2 linked regions of the Pelodiscus sinensis genome follow. Each later gene encodes a partner of the first gene's protein in a complex. Links are inferred from orthologs where the notes say so. Each region holds a gene or a part of one and is shown on either strand. Other genes may lie near its edges.

What was found. The genes of interacting proteins can lie anywhere in the genome.
Region 2: CNOT11 (region 1) and CNOT8 share a complex: the UniProt entries of both Homo sapiens proteins name them as parts of the CCR4-NOT complex. The link is inferred for Pelodiscus sinensis from reciprocal best matches to the Homo sapiens genes CNOT11 and CNOT8.

The regions. Positions count from the first base shown.
Region 1 is NC_134711.1:230,737,472-230,744,563, forward strand, and holds the start of CNOT11 (CCR4-NOT transcription complex subunit 11), read left to right. Parts: upstream 1-4,079; 5' UTR 4,080-4,180; coding exon 4,181-4,613; intron 4,614-7,092. UniProt on the Homo sapiens protein: Component of the CCR4-NOT complex which is one of the major cellular mRNA deadenylases and is linked to various cellular processes including bulk mRNA degradation, miRNA-mediated repression, translational repression during translational initiation and general transcription regulation.
Region 2 is NC_134727.1:38,147,955-38,155,809, reverse strand, and holds the start of CNOT8 (CCR4-NOT transcription complex subunit 8), read right to left. Parts: upstream 3,012-7,855; 5' UTR 2,780-3,011; intron 2,181-2,779; 5' UTR 2,021-2,180; intron 1,892-2,020; exon of another isoform or gene 1,794-1,891; intron 600-1,793; 5' UTR 575-599; coding exon 458-574; intron 1-457. Other genes in the region: FAXDC2 (fatty acid hydroxylase domain-containing protein 2), read left to right, coding at 3,719-3,784. UniProt on the Homo sapiens protein: Has 3'-5' poly(A) exoribonuclease activity for synthetic poly(A) RNA substrate. Its function seems to be partially redundant with that of CNOT7.

The DNA.
Region 1 (7,092 bases):
CGGTTTTGGCTTCTAAACCCCCCAGCCTGTTGCTGAGGCTGCTTCCTCCATCCTCCCAGACAGAAACTAACTAACTTTCCTCCAGCCCTGCCCCCCAAACAGGGCAGCATTCACCTTCCTTTATTCCTCTCCATGGGGGTTAGCTGGTCAGACGGTTGAGAGATCCCTTTGCATAATGACCCATCTCTGTCCTTCTGGGCTGTGGTACCGGCGGCAGCCAGTGGGGTTACCACAGACCCATAGAAACCAGCAAGTTCCCCCCCACTACGTCACACAGACTAACTCAGCTACCCCTCTGAAGCTTCTCATTACAATGTACAGCAGCTAATGAACTAAACATTATGGCTGCGTCTAGACTGGCATGATTTTGCACAAATACTTTTAACTGGAAAGTTTTTCCGTTAAAAGTATTTGTGCAAGAGAGCGTCTATACTGGCATGTGCCTTTGTGCAAAAGATTTGCTTTTGCGCAAAAGCATCCGTGCCAGTGTAGACGCTCTCTTGCGCAAGAAATTAACTTGGCTATCTACAAGTATTCTTGCACAAGAGGGCTTATCCCTGAGTGGGTGCGTCGGAGTATTTACACAAGAATCACTGATTTTGTACAGTACAAAGTCAGTGTTCTTGCGCAAATACTCGCGGCTAGTGTAGACAGGCGGCAAGATTTTGCAAAAAATCAGCCGCTTTTGCACAAAATCTTGCTAGTGTAGATGCATCCTACCTGTGTCGATGCATTCATGTTTCTCAATTTTCAGCACACTCATGCAGCTGTTGCACTATAAGGTACGTCTACACTGCAAAGCTCTTTTGGGATAATGGAAGTATCTCAAAATAGCTATTCCATGTCTACTGAAGCAGCCTATTATTTCATTTCAAAATAATGGGTGGCTTATTCTGGTGTTCTGGTAATACTCGTTCTATGAAGCCTAAGGGGAATTTCAGAATAGTGAGTTATTTAGAAATATTATGAAACAAGCTATTTCGAAATACACTAGGAATAAGCTACGGAAGTTGTGTAGCACAAATTATATCACTTATTTCGAGCTAAGGGTGCTGTGCTAAGGGTGTTCGAGCTAATAGTTAGGCCTGGAGTTACATTCACACTGGCATCTTTAAAAACTCTCTAACTCAAGATTTATTCTTACATGGTCAGCCAGTAAGGCATGTGGAGTAGGGATGTGAATGGTTAACAACACTTACTGGGTGATACTTAGTGGTTATAGTTAACTAGCAGGGGCTAAGGCAACGACCCCATTCACTGCAGGCAGGGGGCTGCCCCAGCTCCATGTGGTTCATGGCAGGTGGGAGATGTTCCAGAACGACTGGAGCAGCCCTCTGCCCTTGGTTCCAGTCCTGCCCTCCTACTCGCTTGTTCAGCCAGTTAAACATAATGGCTACATCTACACGGGCATGATTTTCCGAAAATGCTTTTAACGGAAAACTTTTCCATTAAAAGCATTTTCGGAAAAGCACGTCTAGATTTGCGGAAAAGCATCCTGCCAAAGCATTTTTTGCAGAAAAGCGTCCGTGGCCAATCTAGATGCGGTTTTCCACAAAAAAGCCCCGATCGCCATTTTCGCAATCGGGGCTTTTTTGCGGAAAACAGTACTGTGGTGTCTACACTGGCCCTTTTGCGCAAAAGTCTTTCAGAAAAATACTTTTGCCCAAATGGGAGCAGCATAGTATTTCTGGAAAAACACTGATGATCTTACATGAGATCGTCAGTGCTTTTCCGGAAATTCAAGTGGCCAGAGTAGACAGCTGGCAAGTTTTTCCGCAAAAGCAGATGATTTTGCAGAAAAACTTGCCAGTCTAGACACAGCCAATCAGGGGCAGGTGACTGTTTTGTGGGGCCCCAGGCAGCATAACTCCGCGGGGGCCCCCCCTTTGCCACGGCGCATGCGCGGTGGTGCCACGGCACATGCGCGGGGCCCAGGGCGGCCGCCCCGTTCGCCCTGCCCTATATCCGCCCCTGCAGCCAATGTTTAAACAGGATTTTACATCCCTAATGTGGAGTTTCCTGTAGTATTGATGTCATGTCAATTTTTTTCTCTTTGTAAGGAATTAAAGATACATTTTTTTTTTACAACCTGTTCCTGCTACAGTTGTCTCATTCCTTGTTGCCTCTGACACTTCTAGTTGCAGTGAAGACTTTTAGAGAAAAAAATTCCCCTTTTTGAGGAAAAAAATCATTACAGGGTATGATTGTTAGACATGTGAATTGACCCAGATGGACTACATTGTCTCCGTCTATTAGCATTGTTATATAAAAACAACCTAAATGGGATGGAACACTTAAACAACAAAGGAAAGGAATGTGTATCTAAGGAGGAAAGACTCATGAGAATAATAGTACAGTAATTCCTCATTTAACACTATAGATAGGTTTCAGAAAATGATCGTGTTAAGTGAAAACGTGTTATGCGGGGTCAATTTTCCCACTGAAAATAATGGAAAAGGTGGGGGTTGTGTTTCAAGCGTTAGTGTCTGTAGAGACCAGGACATAAGGTTGGGGGAGAAAGGGGACTGGGTTACAGCAGGGAGAGGAGGTGTTTGGCTCTGGGGAAGGGAAGGGGAGGGGGACTGGGTTGGGAGTATGCCCCTGTGACAGGTCTGCCGGGACCCACACTGCGTCCAGCGTGGGCAGGGAGGGAGGTTGCCGGGGAACAGCGAACCCTCTTCCGCTTTGCAGGGAGGCCTGGGAAGACCCGCGCAGCCGCTGGCAACAGGCCAGCTGGGGAAAGAGTGTTATTCCGGGGACAGTTGTGTAATTCAAGAAAGTTCCCTAAAAAAAAAAAAATTCATGCTATCACAAAAATGTGTTAAGTGGGCAAGTGTTAAATGAGGAATTACTGTATCTGACAGTGCTTTAATTTCATTTTTGTTTGTTGGATGGATCTTACCCCTCCCCAGCATGTTATTGCAAATGAGGCAAGGTAGGGGGTGTACTTGATTTTTTACATTATTTAGCATGGTTGCTGAAACTAAAATACAATCTCTGTAACAAATCAAACAGTTTGCTATAATTATGTCTCTGTCTCTTTCCTGCTCTACCACATCCTCTCTGCCAAATGCATTAGGGTTCACCGTTCCTGGGATATTTTGTTCAGGCAGCCGTCTCTATTATTTAAGCAAGGAAGGAAAGAAAAACAACTTCTATAATCAAAACGCAGAGCTTGCACTTTAGCTTTACCGACTCTAAGTAAATCAATCTAGTACTCACCTATCATGCTCTGATTGAAGGATGGAAAATCCTGTTCAATCAGTTCACCATTCGGTGTAACAGCTTAAATGGGATCCCATGGGCGGAGGGTGGGGGGGGCCGCGGGGAGCTGCTCTAGCCCAGCCACATGCAGCACAGCAGGCCCAGCCTGGCTGGTGGGGACATCCCTACTCTGATTATGGCAATAACAATTAACCACCCAATACGCTGCCGAAAGGGCATCTCGGCCAACAAAAGTCTGTAGCCTGCAGCAGGGAGCGGCACGTGGACACGGTCTGACCCCCCAGAAGCCACCAGCGCAGGGGGCTGGGCAGCAGGACGCCTCGGTTCTGCTGCCGGGCTGGGGCGGGGGGGCGGTTGCAAACGTTAAGGGCCTCCAGGCCTGACGAACGCGGCTCCGGCTGCCCCAGGCGCGCGCTCCAGCTCGCCCGGAATCGCGGCCGCTGCGCCAACCCCAGGCGCGCGCGCGCTTACAAAACCCAGGAACACGTCTCGCTGATTGGCGGGAGGGAACTAGACTCCCCACAAAGCCCCACCTCTCTGGGTCGGGCCCGTGAGCAGGAACCAATCCCGCGCCTCCCTCCGGCTCCCGATGGGGCAACCGCCAGCCAATCCCCTGCCTCTATATCTCCCGGCCCCTACACAAGCGCCGGGAATGTTGAACGGCAATGTCGCAAACACGCCGTCCCTGAGCCGGTGCGCGGCTTTACGGCAGCGGCAGCCAATCCCTTGCCTCCCTCGGGCTCTTAGTGGGGCAGCCGCTGGCCAATCGTCGGCTGCGATCTCTCCCTTCCTCCTCCCATAACGGCCTCGTGTGCGGCGCGACAGTGTCGCAAGCACGCCGTACCGGAGCCGGCGCGCGGCTTTACGGCAGCGGCAGGCCGAGCTCGCAGTCGGCGGCGGCGGCTCGCAGCCGCCCGGGGGTTGCACGCAGGCGCGCGCTCGCGCGGGGAGCTGGATGCCCGGGGGCGGGGGGAGCCCGGCGCCCTGCACTGTGCTGGGCGCGGAGGCGGGGGCCCCCGGCGGCGGGGGGGAGGCGGGCGGCGCGGGGGCCCCGGCGGGCAGGATGAGCCTGTCGCCCAAGGAGCTCTCCAGCCTGCTGAGCATCGTCTCGGAGGAGGCGGGCGGCAGCACCTTCGAGGGCCTGTCCAGCGCCTTCCACCACTACTTCGGCAAGGCCGAGCACTTCCGCCTGGGCTCGGTGCTGGTGCTGCTGCTGCAGCAGCCCGACCTGCTGCCCAGCCCCCCGCAGCGCCTCACCGCGCTCTACCTGCTGTGGGAGATGTACCGCACCGAGCCGCTGGCCGCCAACCCCTTCGCCGCCATCTTCGCCCACCTGCTCAACCCCGCGCCCGAGCGCGGCGACGAGGCCGAGCGGCCGCCGCTCTCAGGTACCGCCCGGGGCTTCGCCCCCGAGAGTCACCGCAGCCGCTTCCCTGGGCCCGCCGGGGGGGTGGGGCCGGCGCCGCTGCGGGGACTCCCGGGCTGTGGCCGCTCAGCAGCGATCGCACCCGAGCCTTTCGGGGGAGACGGGCAGCGGCCTGGAAGGAGGCCCCGCTCGGAGTGATGCTTTATTTCGTATCCACTGGCCCTGAGCCTGCCCCGGGTGTGTCTGCCCCAGCATCCTCCCCGGGTCTGTGCGAGTTGGGGCGGTGAGGTGTTGACTGAGAGCCCAGATGCGGGTGTGAGTGAATATTTCACAAAGAAGTTTTCAGGAGGTTAAGTACATTTTTGTTAATTGGAGAACACTTCACTTCAGCACCCATCTCCATAGTTCTTAACTCATCTGAACTGCTCTCTAGAAAGCAGCAAAAGAAACCCAGGTAGTTCTCAGGTCAGACACTTCATGCCTTCCAGGCTTTTTGTTTTAAAACACATGGTGAAAGGCTCATCACTTTCCTTTTGCAGTGCACTTTAAAAGGCAAAATGTTTAAAAGCACATTTGGCAATGGTCATACTCTACTCACAGTGCACATCTCCCTGGCTCTCAGTTTTGGGGACATTACATTAAAATCATGAAAACTGAGGAGGTCTACATAAAAATAAATTCCCCAGTCTAAATCAGAAGGATTCTTACTAAGGTAACTAATATACAGAGCAGATAAATTGAAGTGAGATGGGCATGCTCAGTTCCATTCCCCAGCACTGGAGCAGCCATGTAAGAGGTGGTTTTTTTCTGGGTGTTAGAATGTATGCAAAAAGTGAGGCTTTCCTGTCACTGCTCCCTCTGTTTCCAGTACAAATGCATCCCTATAATAGGGTCATGTCTCTGTGATCCAGGGCTGGAGGGTGACGCTCTGTCCAGATATTTATCTGTTTGGGGGCAAGGAACAAAAAAAAATAATAATTTTTAATTACCCCCCCACCCCTCGAGCTAGGGATCAGAGTGATGTGTTACTGAGTGGTGCAAGGCCCTGTTGAGCAGTGCTTTTACGTATTTTATTTTCAAAAAGGCACTACAAGGAAAAGAGGGTGTGGTGCATTTTGCTGTTTTACAATGCTTTAAGAAAGCATGAAATACTTTATGCCAAGGGTGGGGGCCCCAACTTTTTTTGGGTTGTGGGGGCCCCGAGCCACATAAAAATCAGCTGGGGGCTGCGCACAAGTGAGAAGCAAAAGGGAAAAAAAACCCACCTCACAGATGTGGCCCTCGAATGAAAAGCGGAAATACTCCAGACATTCCCTTTCTCTTGCATGCCAGAGCCTATGGGGGCCAGGCTAGTAGATTTTGTGTGCTCCAGCCCTGTGGTGGGGGAGGGAGGGCTGGAAATGCCAGCGTGGGCTCCTCAATGTTGAAGGGGAGAGAGCCCTGAGCCTCGGGCTGGATCCAGGCAAGCCGGGGGCTGGATGACCTTAAAAACCCTGCTTTTTAAGGGTTTGTCATGAGAATTACCAGGGTTTGCTTCACTGCTTTGAAGAAGTGGAGGGAGTAATATTGATGCTGAAACCAGAGGGACAAAAAGAAAAGGAATTTGAAGGGGGAATGGGTTTAGTTATTACTAATCACACCTGAGAAACATCTTCTGTTCCTGAAAAACACTGGGGAAAAAAACAGACAAGTTCTGTGGAAAAATTCAGTGCTCTACCCACACTTTCCTGCATAAGAGCTAAGGGAGGTCCCACTCATGCTTTTTAGGAGGAAAAAAAACCACTTTGTTATTCCCTGTATTTTTAGCAAACTTTTTTGCAGTATTCTCCAAGCTCTTGTAGTGACCATTTAGAGTGTGGGGAAAAGGAGTTGAACTTGACCAGCAATACTCTAGAGCAGTGGTTCCCAACCTTTTTGATACTGGGGACTGACAAACCCATTCACACACTTTTGGTGGACTAGTAATATTTTATTTGCATATTTGCGTGTGTTTTATGCAAATGATGAATTTGCAAATACAACATCAGTCTGCCAGAAGGCCCAGCCCCCAACACCTAGAGCCCTCCGCTACCCCCTAGCACCAGCCACTGACCTAAGTCCCCTGCACTCATCCCCCATTTCTCAGAGCCCCCCGCCACCAGACCCCCCCAGTAACAGCCTCCTCTTTCCGGAGCCTCATTGTACCCATTCCCCCCCAGTGCTAGCCATGGCCCCATAGATCCCCTATTACCAGCTCAGCCTCCAGAGCAACCCAGCACTAGTCCTGCCCCTAGAGCCCTCAGTGCCTGCTGCGACCCCCTCACCTAGCCCTGTGGTGCTGTACGTGGCTCTGGGGGCTGGAGCTGGGGAATACCACCCAGTGCTTCTCCTCCTGCCCCATTTCTCAGCCAACCAACAATGGCAGGTGCCAGGACTCCAACTGCAGAAGAGTGTTTCTCTGTGCAGCTGGAGGGCCACATGGCTTATGGTCTCCTCCCGGCCACATAAGTGCTTACCTGCAT
Region 2 (7,855 bases), on another chromosome or scaffold:
TACAAAAAGAGAGTAATCCTATTAGCTAACACGTTGTGACTTGTGTGCCTGTTGCCATATATCAGCAGGAAGCCAATATGAACCTGCCATTCAAATTAAAAATATGCTAACTACATTAAACAGCTTAGAACCAAGTAGGCATGTTTTTAAACTCTATTGTATGAACAAAAAAAGTATTTACAGATTTCATCTGTTCAGCATGCCCTCAATCCGCACTGTCTACTTACGTGATTTCAGAGAATCTACAAAAACTCTAAGCAAGATATTGGAAGAAGACCATGTATTTTTAAAAAGTCATGTAAAATTTTAAATGCCAAGCTTCTTTCCAACTGTTCCCCCTTAATATTCAGCTTAAACGGACCCTGGAATGCTTATATTTATGAATAAGTGAGTAAGCTACCCACACTGAAATTCTCAGGTTAGTCAGCAGATGATCACTGAAGTACAGCATATTTACCATTGCAATGTAGCTGTAGCTGAGAACTATTTCTCGAATTTTCCTCATCTCCTCTTCCAGATTGTTTGCCCATACTTCACATATAACCTGACTGTTCTCCACAAGTGCTGCTGGCATCTTGCAGGAATTGGAGTAGAAGCACCTAATATCAAAATTGGAAAGTAAGTAGGGTAGTGTAAAACCTAACTGGCATAGCGCAGTGAACACACACAAACATGCTACTTTGCATTAATACATCTCAACAAATCAGAACAAAAATACAGACAGTGAGTTAGTATGGAATGTTTCTAGTCTGGAGTATCCCTTTCAGCTGGCATATCTGAGTTATTAAAATAAATTCTTTTCTGCTTTTAGAACATTTTTGTAATATGCAGTAAACTTCTGTTTTAAATTGGCAGAAGATATCCAGGATTACTAAGTCCAACTGAAACAAGTCTGCACACTTCAAGTATAAGGCCTATTTTTGCAAACCTAAAGAAAACTAATTAGGGATGTAAGTGACTAGTGGAGTCACTACTCCCCCCTGTTGCTGCCTCTATCAGAGGCAGCAATGGGGGGGGGGGGGAACAGGAGCCAGTGCTGGGGGGAGCCAGCTTAAAAGCAGGTTCCCCCCCAGCACCATCTTTGCAGGGGAGGCAGAGGTGCAGCAGGCAAATGGGCGCAAGCCAGGACTCAGCTGTCCCGGCTCGCACCCAGTCCCCCGCTGCAGGTCTGCCTTTTAAATGTAGTAAGAGCCGGGCAGCTCCCAGGGCAGGGAGCTAACCGTGCTGCAGCTCTGCCGTTGCCCCCTTTAACGACTAATCAAATAGTCAATGGAAATTCCTAATCCACTACTCAATTAACTCATTAAACCCAGTTTATCAGTCTTAGAACTAATACCTTAATTTAGTATTGCTTTTGCTACAGTGTTTTTCTCTTAGGGCTAGAAAGTGAGAATAAATAGCTTCTTACTACACTGTTATTTGTAAGATGTGTGCTGCTCTGTTTCAATTCCCCAAGACCTGTTCTACAAAGATTTTGCAGAAGTTTAACTATTCCATTAAGGATTGTGGTTGTATGCTGATAATATTACATCAGTACAACCACTTGTGTGGACAGTATTAACAGTTAAGATTATTCTAATACATTTATGAGACAAAATACATTGGTATAACTGCACTCCCTAAGGGGATTATGCTGATAGTTAAAGCAGTATGAAAACCAGGGGTAGACGAGAACCAATATTATACCTAGAAACAACATGCAAAGCATCTAGAGTTATTTACAGAAGCTGCAGTGAAGCCAAACAGTCCATCAAAAGCTTTATAAAAGCAGATACTGATCAATATTGTTTTACCTGTCAAGGAACTACTGTTTTTAAGTTTAATGTCATCAGTGTAGGCCTTTCGGTTCTTGCCAACTCTAGCTTTCCCAGAATTCTTTTAATGCCGTGATACATAGAAGGGGAAATATACCACCCTTGTAATTATGGTGTTGAAACTTTGGCTTGTTGGCAGCCTTTAAAAGATGAGATACTATCCATGGCTAATTATTAGTGGGCAGGTCTCCACATAAATGGCATACTTGTTGGCAGCCCCAATCAAGCCTCCAAGGATTTGTGGGCAACTCAGGAATGGGATACACAGGCAAAGCTGAAGTCTACATCTACTTCTGACTGGTGGCAGATTCACACTGCAAGAAGTCTGAATGCTACTGTTCTCGAGAAAGAGGGCACACCTGTGATCTGGGAAGGGAACAAGGCTTCCACGAAATTATCCAGCAGCAAGCAGTTGCTCTTTGCCTGGGACTGTCTCATGAAGGGACAGGTAAATCCTTCTTTAAGAGAAGGGGCTGAATCAGGCCACAGGAGGGCAGTGAAATAACTACCAGCGACTTTCCACCTTCCTTCAGGAAGCGGAAGTTACATTTCTCACAACAGAAATAAAAAGCCACAAAAATAATCCATGGGCAACTTTCTGCATCCCAATGCCCCCCACTGACTGCACCCTCAATAGCCATGGGGTCTCTTGGGTTCTGCTCCCCACTGCAGCCTTTCCTATTCCTTCCCCTTTCACCCCCCTCAGGGCCTCCCTTCCTGAGGACCCCCTCCCCCTTGCACTCTCCCACCCCCCCTTCTCCAGACCCCCTCCCCCAGACCCGCTCCCCCTTGCACTCTCCCCTCCCCCTTCTCCAGACCCCCTTGCACTCTTCCACCCCCCCTTCCTCAAGTCCCCTCCCCCTTCCATCCTCAGACCCCCTCCCCTGCTCCCCCCTAATCCCGCCCTTCCCCCCCCCCCGCTCCCGCTCCCGCCGGGGGTGTATAACGGGGCCTCCCCACGGCACCTGCTCTCTCCGCCAGGGCCGTCTCCTCACAGGCGCACAGAGGGCGCGGGCCGGGGCGTGGAGGGGGAAGCGGGGCCGCTCTAGCCGCTCGCGGGGCCGCTGCTCGTCTGCTCCTTCCCGCCCTCCCCCCGTCAGGCGGGCTGGCGGACCTCTCCCGCGCAGCCACACCACCGCCAGGCCGCGTCAGGATTTCCGGCCTGTCCCCCCGCTCTCGCGAGAGTGCACGCGCCGGTGGAGCAGGACGGAGGCCCAGACGGCGCGTGCGCGCAGCCCCCTTCCCGCGGGAAGCGCTGGGTGCGGCGGGGTGATAGGCTGCCCGCGGGCGCGGGACAAAGGGGCGGGGCGTCTGGTTCGAAGTGCGCCGGCGCAAGGGAGGGGGGGGAGCAATGCCGTTCTCCAGCCGTTAACGGCCGGCGGAACGGGCGAGCCCATGGGCGGGGGGGACAGAGCGGTGCCGGGGGGAGCCGGCTCCCTGCGCCCGGCTGGCCGCAAGAGGCGAAACGGGGCCACCGGCTCCCAGCCGGGCCCGCTCTCCACCCCCTACGGACCCCAGGCCCCGGGGCTGACGGGGACCCCCCCCGCTCCCAGCCAGGGACCCCCCCCCGCTCCCAGCCGGGCCCCGGGGCTGACGGGACCCCCCCCCCGCTCCTAGCCGGGCCCCGGGGCTGACGGGACCCCCCCCCCGCTCCTAGCCGGGCCCCGGGGCTGACGGGACCCCCCCCCCCCCCCGCTCCTAGCCGGGCCCCGGGGCTGACACAAGCCGGCCCACCCCCCAGCTCCTACTTCCCCCCCAGTCCAGTTGGGATCTTTGGGGTGGCAGGACTCAGTCCCCCCCTTTCTCCCTTTGGGGCAACCCCCCCCCCGGGTACCCACATTAGGCTCCCAGCTTGCAGCCATTGCCCCCTTGGGCACAGACCTGCCTTGCTTCTTCTGACTGGGATGGTCCAGGCTGCGCCGCGCCCATCTAGACTGAGTTCCCAAGCACGCCTGGGGACGCCTGTCCAGGTAAAAACCCTCCTTGCTGACTTGGGTTTGTGCCAGAACAGCTCTGTGGTCTTTCCTCTGAGCAGGTACATGTATTCGTAAAATGAAAAGTATCATACAGAAACAAGAGTCTTCTCACGTGACAATCAGCTCGCCTGCCCTCTCCCAGCAAAGGCTCCCTACATCCAAGCTGATCAGTCTCTTACATCCCACCAAGGGGATTTTCTGTGATCACAAACGTGTAACAGCTTTGAACCCAGAACAAGCATCTCTGTGAGTCATGCCATTATACAGGTTAGGCCTCTGTTCTTGTCCTCACGAAAAAGGTGATCAGGAAAAAAAAGTCGCATCCTCAGGGTGCAGTTTCAAAAGACTGGGTCTAGAGGTGGGTAATTTGCCTTCCTCTCTTCCTAAGTATTTTCAAGGAAACACATTTAACTAAAAATTCAATCTTGTTTGGCCCATAATTTTAACATAAACAGTTGCAATTTTAATACAATGAACTCTTAAGGTATCTAAAGTTAATTCAATAAGTTTTGTCCAGGTTATTGCTGTGTATGTTTCAGAAATAACAGGGTGTGATGAGCCTTCCCACTACTCTTAGGAGCTAGACTCAGGACAACCCGTTCAGATCTAATCACAACCAATAGCTACGGAAGACTTCACTCTGGCTAGGGTATCGCTGTCTATGCCAGGATTCCTTGGAGACTACAGGCCCAACCCTAGCCTGCCACAGTTAATTGGCGCATCACTAACACGCATCCCCAGCAGATCAGATGCTGAAGCGTAATTCCTGTCCATGAGGACTATGCCCTCCACTTTGCCTCTGGTTTTGCTGCTCTGAAGTGATTCTCAGGGGTCTGCATCTGAGGGAGGGAGATACCTGCCTGTCTGCATCTGGCTTTACTAAAGGAGAAGAAGCCCTTGACTGACAGGTCCCAAGGTTTTTTACAAAACATGAAAGTAGATGCTCTGCTTCAGAGGTTGTTCTCTTCCCATAATTCAGGGTTAGGTGACTTCTTTCATTCTACTGAATCTTGGTTTGGTGCCTTGGTTAGACAGGTTTTTGGAACTCGTTTCATTTCACATATCAGATTTATTTCAGTATCCCTGTCCTTTCATCCTACCAATAGGGGCGACTCTATGGGTGCTCCAGGGCTCAGACACCCACCCAAAAAAAATAGTGGATGCTCAGTACCCAGGACCAGAGCTGGATTGTGGAATGTGATGAGTTCTGTGCTGCTAACAACCTCTGCCCTTGGGGCAGGGAGTTTGTTTATATACAGAACAGGATGATTAAGATAACAAAACGCTTGTCATTAATTAAGAATCATTAGATGATCCTGAAAGCAGTCTCATGTACTCCAGTTAAAAGACAGGAAACAAACCATAGGAATAAATAATCCATTCTCAGAAAGATAAAGAGTGGTGTCCCCAAGGAGCTTGTACTGAGACCCGTGGTATTCAGCATATCCAAAAATGATCTTCAGAAAGGATCAACTGAGGTGCCAAAGTTTACAGATGATACAAAATTACTCAAGATAGCTAAGTCTAAAACAGACATCAAAGAATTCCAAAGGGATCTCACAAAATTGGGTGACTTAGCAACAAAGTGACAGTTGAACTTCTATGTTACATGCAAAGTAATGCATGTAGTAAAATATCATTCCTACTATACCGACAAAATATTGGTGCCTAAATTGGCTGTTACTCATCAACAAAGAGATTTTGGAGTCATTTGCTGTAGAGTACTGCAGATTCATAGAATCTTTCTCTTTGTGCCTGAATCATCCTGAACTCGTTCTGCAGCTTCAGAACACTTAAAAATTATCTCCAGTCATCAATGGGATAGGCACAAATGAATAATTTCTTAGCGTCCTTAACATGCACCAAAACAATAGCAGGGAACCTAGATGTAAATTAGATTGCTTGCAGTTTTATCCGGAAAGCTACAGTGAGATATGTCTTTAAACTGGGATGTTAGTGAAGACAACATGTAGGTGATTGCAATAATTTTAATATACAATAATTCATGATCATCTAATTATGTAATTCATAATAATTGAATCATTCTTACAAAAGTAAAGATGCCAATAATAGGCACATTCAATAATTAAAATATGAAAGTGTTTAAATATATTGTGAAAATAGCCTCCCCCAAAACTGACAGGGTATCTCCCCAAGTGCACACTCCTCTTCAAAAACACCTACTGACAGAAAGAAAAGTCAGTGCCTACGATTGAACCCTTCACACAGACAACTTTCCAAGCACTATGAAAGTAATTTATCATTTTCCAGTAAGTGACCTCTTCCGTGTCAGCATATGTTCATCGTTCTATCACAAACAAAGAAATGGTGCTTTTGTAACTCAGTATTTATTGAACTTTATCATTGAGGCTATTAGGAATATAAAGCTTATCTTTCCAGATTAGTTATTTTTATTCCCTTTTTGCTTTCTCAGCTGCAGCATATAGCCTTTAAGTTGCACGAGTTATACATTAATGCTCTATGTACTACTGGGGAAATTCTGTTCCAAAAATTAAAAGTTATGTGCACAATATTTTAAAATTGTCTATATTTTATTTGTCAAATTAACAATCACACCAGTTTCAATTCTTTTGGTAATTTATTTGAAAATACCTGTCAGCAACTATGTCTGCGACAATAAAGACAAGAAGATTAAGGAAATGTTTTTTGACAAATGGATTCCTTACTAGGTACATTAATAAAGAGCTTTGAGTAATAATTCATTTAAACGACAATATAGAAATGTATTTCCCGCGTCCCTCAGAAGCAGCTCAAAGGCTTGAGGGAGTGAGGGGTAATGGAGGAGTTAAAGGAGAGGGAAGTAATGGCTGGGAATTGCCTAATAGTTTTTTATTTGGGAGGGGGAGCGTTAGGGAATTGGGGAGCCTCCTCCATGTAGACCCTAGTTGACCCCTCAACTCTCCTATTCATTCAGACATATTTGCCCATCCCCATCTGTCCCTTCACTCCCTCTCAACAACCCCTCCTCTCCAAGCCTCATGTTTCCCTGCTATGGATGTGAATGGATAACTGGGTGAGGCTTACAAGATAACGGTTAACCGGAGCCTGGGAGCTGCTAATGGCCCACTGCGGGTGGAGGGCTACTCCAGCCCTGCCAGGTCCACTCGCTGCAGACTGGGGTGAGAGCTGGCAGCCTCACGTGAAGCCAGGAGCCCCGTGTGGGGCCCAGGTAGAAGCAGCCCACAGAGCTGACAGCCCTGTGGGATGGGGGCTGCTTCAGCCGGGATGGGACAGTCCCCCACCTGGGATCCCACTTAAAACCAGTTAAACCTCACATTTAACTGGTAAACTGATTAAATGGGATTTTACATTCCTAGTCCCTGCACACACACCCATTCCCATGTGTCCCTGTACTCCCACTTAGCCACCACTCTGTCCCCCCATCCCAATTTGCCCGTGCACCTCCCATTCAGCACCCAGCCTAGTCTCTCCCCTCATGAGCCCTAGTCTAGGTGATGCCTCCCCAGCCCTGTGTGCTCTGCTTTGTATATCTTCCCCCCATATCGGGTGCTTCCTCACTTGGCCCCATTGGCGGGGTGTTGTGAGGACCACTGCCTCTCCTGCCTTTCCACAATTGGCTGCTCTGGCCTGTGAGCCTGCTGCCCTCTGTTCTGGCACCACAGCAGCCCCTGGTGGGCAAAAGGCCTAATTGGATTGCCTCTCCAACAGAATGTGAAAAAAAATCTGCAGGGCACATGAATTATACATGTGCACAATAGCATAGAATTCCCCTAAGAGTAGGCCTGCCAAAACAGAACCATTGCAAGCAGAACTGAGTGTGCAGCTCTGTTAAGCCCTTGCAAGGACATGAGACAGCCAGCCCAACGTTTTTCAATAGCAATGGTGACTTTTTGTAGTATGGATACCTGTCCACTGGGAACCAAACTAATTTCGGACGGGACACCAAATAGCCAAGAAATGGGAGCTGCTTTTGATTACAGGCAACCTGGATTGATTTATACTTGGAAATCTTATCTAGGCCGTTCAGTCCTCTGTTGGGAGAGTTATTCAAAAACAATTTCTTATTTAAATGAGAGTTAAAAG